2 linked regions of the Sus scrofa genome follow. The protein of the gene in region 2 interacts with the protein of the main gene of each other region in a pairwise test. Links are inferred from orthologs where the notes say so. Each region holds a gene or a part of one and is shown on either strand. Other genes may lie near its edges.

The links.
Region 1: the proteins of TK1 (region 2) and C7H14orf1 interact in a two-hybrid assay, tested with the Homo sapiens proteins (2 studies listed by BioGRID and IntAct). The link is inferred for Sus scrofa from reciprocal best matches to the Homo sapiens genes TK1 and ERG28.

The regions. Positions count from the first base shown.
Region 1 is NC_010449.5:98,816,757-98,820,506, forward strand, and holds the start of C7H14orf1 (probable ergosterol biosynthetic protein 28 precursor), read right to left. Parts: upstream 2,887-3,750; coding exon 2,754-2,886; intron 1-2,753.
Region 2 is NC_010454.4:3,792,156-3,795,469, reverse strand, and holds the end of TK1 (thymidine kinase, cytosolic), read right to left. Parts: intron 1,885-3,314; coding exon 1,795-1,884; intron 1,588-1,794; coding exon 1,468-1,587; intron 1,376-1,467; coding exon 1,199-1,375; 3' UTR 646-1,198; downstream 1-645. UniProt on the Homo sapiens protein: Cell-cycle-regulated enzyme of importance in nucleotide metabolism. Catalyzes the first enzymatic step in the salvage pathway converting thymidine into thymidine monophosphate.

The DNA of each region.
Region 1 (3,750 bases), on a different chromosome or scaffold from region 2:
GGAGAAACCCAACAAAGAGCCCACTTGAGCAGTAACTTCTGGGTGTGGTAGTTCATGCCTCTGCCCTGGAAGCCCCTCTGGTGTTGGCAAGGCCCAGCGAATCTGGATCAGGACAGACCTGGGGGAATGTTGAGGAGAGTGGTCTGTCAATACGAGATGCCTAGGAGCTCAGTAGACTTTATAGGCTGATACGGCAGAGCGCTCAGAAAACTGGGACCTACCTGAATGCCCACATCCGTCTCTAAGAGACCCAAGTCCATGGGTCTGTTCCTGCATCCAGATCTCTACTATGTGAACAAAACCCAAACCAGGCTGGTTTTCTGTGTAAATGGGAGGGGAACAAAGCAGTTTCTTTAGTGTTTGCTGGGGCCACTGTGCTCTTGGCAGTTTCATTCTGGCATTGCTATATTAAATATCGTGTCCTGAGAGTAGAGATTACAGTTTGCTCTAACAGTGCTTCTTTTTTTTTTTAATTAAAAAATTTTTTTTAGCACTGTACCGCGGCATGTGGAAGTTCCCAGACTAGGGGTCAAATTGGAGATACAGATGCCACAGCCACAGTAACACCAGATCCGAGCTGTGTCTGTAACATACACCACAGCTCATGGAACACTGGATCCTTAACCCACTGAGCAAGGCCAGGGATCGAACCCCCATCCTCATGGATACTAGTCAGGTTTGCTACTCCCGAGCCACGACAGGAACTCCACCAGTGCTTCTTGACACTGGACAGTTAATAGAATCAGCTAAAGAAGTTTTATAAAATTCCAAGACATGGATACCAGACCAGTTAAATCACATGCTCCAAAGGTAAATTCAAGGCCCAGATGGTATCTTTTAAAAACTCCTTGCCTTGGTGATTTTTAATGTACAAGCATTGATCTAAGGCATCCAGTAGCACGGAATGCCAAATAGTCAATGAACCATGAGAAAATGTAAGGAAGACTGGCGACTGAAAGGTCAATTTGGGCTTCAAGGTTTTCTAGCCTTTGGAAAACCAGGCAATACCAAATTCACAACTACCTTCAGATGGTAGTAAGGTGAGAAAAAATTCCATGTACCAAACAAATATCTAGTGGTTACACTGTGGAGGGCTATCTTCTTTAGAAAGCATTTTGACAGCTTTTCTTATGAAAAAACAGAAACTTTCTTTAGTGAGTAAAATACGAAAGTGGAACATCTCCCGAAGCGTAACCAGATTAGGCATCAGGTGAAATTCTACGGGATACTCCAGGGTCTTGCCCTGATCAGCAAAGCACCAGGACAGCCCCGAGGTCATGAGGGAGGAGGCAGTTTCTATTTCTGGGCTGCAGACGTACACACACGACTGATGAAGAACTGAAGGGGTCCTGCATCTTTTTAAAAAATCTGCTTCTGTTTAAAAAGCTAACATTTCTCTGCTTCATGTGTTCTGCATTTGAGGTGTAGTAAAATCTTTGCTCTTCACCAGATGTAATGTTTTAGTAAACACACACACACACACACACACACAGAATTCTGCTCAGCTATATGCCCTTCAGCAAATCACATACCCCATGGGCTTCTCTGTTTTAAACCTGTGAGTCTATACAGGGTTCCCAGACTATCTGAGGAGCAGCACTGAGGGTGAAAAGTGGAATTGTCCTGGCCACTTTCCAGGTTTCCAGGTTCTTTATTCCTAGTGTATCTGAGCTTTGTTCAAAGTGAGCCATAGCCTACTTAGTTTCCTTTTATGCCCAGATGTTGCAGAAGTGAGCTAGGTCAGAGCCTGAATCTGGGTTAGCTATAAATGTGACACAGAATTGTCAGCTGCTATGAAATGGTGCTGCAGCTCAAGCCACCCCTTACAGTAGCACAAGAAGTGCAAGCTGAAGTGTGCAAACACTCTCAGCAGAGAGGCTCAGGACACTGAGAAAGGCCACTATGGGCCTTTGGAAATTAGTTTTGGGAGACCAACTTGGAGGGATTTTGGATATCTCTGCAGGGTCTATGTCATAGTTTGAAAAGATCTTGGACAGGTAACCCTCCATCTGCAATGTAGGATGTAAACTACGTGTACCACGACCTGATTTCTGATGGGCGCTGAGCTAATATGAAAAGCTTCTTTATTTATGGTTTTCAAGTCAAGCACCACAGAGTCACCAAAGACCTCTATTTCCTCACTTGTAATGCTTTTTGTACAGATTAGCTGCCTAGGGCAGTTTAAGATGAATGAAAAGATGTTCGGAGAAGCTCTGGGGAAAAGAGGACCAAGTGCCATCTATCCATCACGTCTGTGACTCTAGTGGCAGCCAAAGGCTAGAGTAGGCAGTATCAGAATCACTTGGGAAGTTTTTGTTTGTTTGTTTTTTTAGGGCCGTACCCGTGACATATGGAATTCCCAGGCTAGGGGTTGTATCGGAGCTGTAGCTGCCAGCCTACACCACAGCCACACCAGGTCAGAGCCGCACTGGCTACCGACACCACAGCTCAAGGCAATGCCAGATCCTTAATCCAGTGAGTGAGGCCAGGGATCAAACCTGCATCCTCATGGACTCTAGTTGCGTTCGTTACCTCTGAGCCACAACAGAAACTCCCTCACCTGCAAAGTTTTTAAAACAGATTCCTGGGCCCCATCTAGGGGGTGAAAGTTTCAGTAAGGAGGTCTGGAGAGGGCCATGGACAGCTGTGCTTTGTTTTAGTTTTTCTAGGTAATGTGGATGGATAGCTGGTTGAGAACCGCAATTTAGGCCACCCCCCGCTCCCCCAAGGGATGCAGGTCTCTATTTTCTCACCGAGGTCTGGCTTGCCGGTGTAGAGCTTTTCATAGAGAAAGGTGTGGTCTCGGAAGCTCTGCAGCGTGTTCCCCATGGCTATGATGGATACCATGACCAGCCAGCTTCGTAACACGTTCAGGAACCGGCTCATGGCTCTCTTCAACCCTAGAGGGCTTTGTGCCTTGGAAACAAAGGCAAAAGGCAGGATAGAATACTGATAACCACAAGCTCGCTCGCTTCTGATGTTAACCTGTCTCCTCCTCATGAGGAGCTTATGTTGTCAATCACTTCTTCAACTCCTCTCTAATACCCTAGGTTAATCCATTCCCAGTCACCCTTCACAGAGTTGGCATAGTGGCTTTTAACATCTACCTTATTAGGAGTTCCGTCCGGTGGAAATGAATCTGACTAGGAACCATGAGGTTGCAGGTTTGATCTCTGGCCTCACTCAGTGGGTTAAGGATCCAGCGTTGCCGTGTGCTGTGGTGTAGGTCACAGACGGGCTTGGATCTGGCATTGCTGTGGCTCTGGCGTAGGCTGGCAGCAACAGCTCTGATTAGACCCCTAGCCTGGGAACCTCCATATGCCACGGGTGCGGCCCTAAAAAGCAAAAAAAAAAAAAAAAAAAAAAAAAAAAAAATCTACCTTATTAAATTCAAAGTGGGCTGACCTTTACCCAGAGTGAAAAAGGCTAAATAATGCAGTGGGTGGAAATGACAAACCATTGGAAAGAGTGGAGAGAAGAAAGGGAACAGGAGAAAGGGAAGTGTACAGATATTACGATAATAAAATGGACTTCCGTGTACGACTTACAGAAATTGGTCTCAGTATTTACTTGTACTAATAGTGATGGATCAATAGTGTACTTTGCAATTAGTGGCATAGTGCTTATTTTTGTCCCAGCAACTTCTCCAAAATATTAGCCTAAATCAAAACTCTCTTCTATTGGCTGGAACCAGTGCCCCGGGATCTTTACTTCCAGCCTGATGTTTCATGTCATTCCTTTGCAATGTAA
Region 2 (3,314 bases):
AGCCCACCCTGGGGACTGTGCCCGGCTCAGGCAGGGGGCCAGGGTCTTCCCTCTCCCTGCAGCTCTGGACGTGCCCCTTTGAGCACTGACGGAGCTGTCAGAAGTGGGCCCGGCCGTTTGAAGGTCCTGAGTGAAAACCAACAGGGTTTGGGAATCAGTCTGACCCTTGCACTGCACCTCTGGAACCTGGGACCAAGCAGAGCCAAGGGGGAGGGAGCAGCCGGGAGGATGGGGAGCCTGGCACCCCCTGCGGTGCAGCCTCGCCTCCACACAAGCCGCCCACAGCCCGGTTTTCCGAGGCACAGCAGAGCTGGGCTTCTTGGCTCCTGGACTGTCAAGTGTCTGTTCACAAACTCTGGCCTCGCAGCACGAGCTGGCAGCACGGACCAAAGCCTCATCTTTCCAGCCTGGGCCCCGGGCTCCATCTACCCTTCTTGTCTGGATGCCCAACCAGACAGAAGAGCCAGGAAAGCTTCTCTGGACACGCCTCATGGCCGTCTCTCAGCCAAAACCGGTTGCGGCGAAGAGACAGCGGAACTAGAAAAAGAACTGGAGAGAAATCCCCGCACCCGAATCACGTCAGCGCTCTCCGCGGCGAGGCCCGGGAAGCCCCAGGCGGTTTGAGAATGTGCTCTCACCACACAGTAACTTTTCCAGGTGGTTATTCATGGCAGAGAACTTGACAGAAGGCCACAGCCCTTCCCTAAAAGAGGAGCCCTGGGAGCTGAGCCCCGGAAGGGCTTGCAGGCCACAGGGAAGTGAGAGTGCCCCAGTCTGGCTGTCCTCAGAGGGGCTCAGTCTGTGTGCGCGAGAGGCTCGGTGCCAGCCAGAGGTGGGGGCTCGGGCTTCCCAGCAAGAACAGAAACTCGGCAGCCAAAGCCACAAAGGGGGAAGAGGCCAGCAGCACCCCTGTCAGCGGCTGTGGCTCCAGCCTCACCCCGGGGGAGCGGAGGGGACGTCTGCCGGGGCCAGACCCCTCGCCACGGAGCTGCCAGCTCCGGCCTGGGGCGGCCTGTGAGCAGCGGCCCAGCAGCGGGGACGGGAACTGAGAGAGGCCAGCGGGCGGCCCAGGAGGGAAGTGTGCCGAGCAGACCGCCGGCCTCGGCCGGAAGGGCGGGCAGCTCCTGGTGCTGGACAACCGCCCCCGCTTCCTCCTGGGGCGCAGGCGGCCTCCGGGGCTCAGCGGCGGGCCGGCGCCTCAGTTGGCCTGGCTGCACTGCAGGAGCTGATGGGGGCCGAACAGCCTCCTGACGCCCAGCGCCAGGCCGTTCTCTCTGTTCTCCTTGCTGTCCAGCCCGATGGGCAGCCCTGTCTTCTTGAAGTAGCAGAGGCGGCACACGGAGTGGTACTTGTCCGCTCCTCCGATCACCTCGACCTGGACACGGGACACCAGGTGCCTGGACTGAGGGGGGCGCGGCGGCCCCCGCCCCGCCCGCCCGCGCCCCCGGGAGAAGGCAGGGCAGCTACCTCTTTCTCCACGCCCAGCCTCTTGGTGTAGGCGGCCTCCCGGAAGCACTCCATGCACACGGCCGTCAGCTTCACCACGCTCTCGGCCAGGGGCACCAGGTTCAAGATGCTCCCGAAAGCCTGCGGTCCCACCAGAGACGGGCGCTCTCAGCTCGCCCTTTCCCGGAAAGGCTGCCTCCCAGCACGGAAGCCAGGGACCGAGGCCCTGCCCTGGCCTTCCCCAGAGCCCGGCGCCTGCAGCCGGCGGACCCGGTCCGCGGCCCCAGGAGCCCGTCTCTGCACGGCCCCGGCCCCCCGCCTCCCGGGTCCCAGGCCCGGACGCCTTACCTTCCTCTGGAAGGTCCCGTCCAAGGCGGCCACAATCACGGTCTTGCCTTCGTTGGCCATGGTCTCGCTGAACTCCACGATGTCAGGGAACTGGGGGCGGGAGAGGGGGTGAGGACAGCTCCCGCCTGGGCAGCAGCTTCCGGGAGCCACAGAGAAGGTGCTGCCGGACCCGACAGCTCCGGGCACCCAGTCGGCGGGGAGCGCGAGACCTGGGCAGCCCCAGCCCCTTGCCCGGCGCACAGCTGCATGTCCCCAGCAGACCCAGGCCCCCCTCCAGGTCAAGAACCCGGACCTGTCACCAGGGTGACGCAGCCCGGCTAGAAAGGCGGTCTGCCACTGCAGTGTCAACAGCTTGGACCAGAGGCTGCCTTGGGCTTGAACCATGGTCACCCGTTAGCTGTGACCTGGGCAATGACTTCAGATTCCCGAGCCTGGAAAAGACAGGGAGGGCTTTGGGGGGGGTTAAGGATTAAAGACCCTCAAATAATTTATTCTCTTTGGCTGAGAGGTAGGCTGTGTGCCTGCCACTTAAAACCCAACAAAAAACAATGTGCCATGCGATGCCTTGAGAAGGGGTGGCAGTTCCACGGTCCCGGCACACCCTTCTAAATGCAGGGTCTGCAGCAGGCCGCTTAGTTGGTGACTCAAATTTCATTTCAAGTGGCCCAGGGTGAGGCTGCTTAAAACCCTTTGGTGGATTTTCACTGGTCATCATCTGTCGAGACGGACCTGTGGGTTGGGTGAAGTGGGGATTATTCTTGCCTAGAGGGTCTTTCTCCAAGCCACCCAGGCCTCACTCAGCCGGATGTTCGAGAAGTTACCAAGACAGGACCAGGAGAGGCGTTAGAAACCCCTCTATGCAGCGGGATCCACTGAAGCCAGAGCTGACCGCCCCCTGGCAGGGCTGGAGGGGCCTGAGCTCTGGAACGGCCGCCCCCACCCAGAGGCTCCAGCTGACCCTGCCCCAGGCGGTTCTTTTTCTCTGAAGGACTCGGGTCACAGAAATGCAGCCCCCACCTACAAGGAGCTGTCAGTAAGTGCCCCCCGACCAGCTGTCACAAAACTGTTTCCAGACATTGCCAGATACCCACTGCGGCGGGGGTGGGAGAGGAACGAATCCCCTGCACTCCCCCTCCCTGCTGAGGCCTCGTCAAGAGGCAGGTCCTTCCACACCAGGGTCTGGGGACCTCGGAGGGTCCTTGGCTTCACCTGTGGTCAGAGCACTCAGCTCTTCCACCCGGACTTTGTCCCCTGTTCACACGCCCCCCTCCCCAACACCGACCCTGGGCCCCCAGCAGGGGTTCCTGGGTGATCGAAGGTAAGGACAGAGCTGCCTGGGTTTTCTGCAAAATCTCAAGATGCCCACGGGTAACCATGTTGCTGGCGTTGGATTTTATTGCCATTCATTTTTAGGTTACATTTTGGGTTGAGTTGTGTCCCTCTCACACCTCAAATCCATGTTGAAACCCTAATCCCCAGCACCCGAGTGCGACCTTATTTGGAGAGGGTCTTTGCAGAGG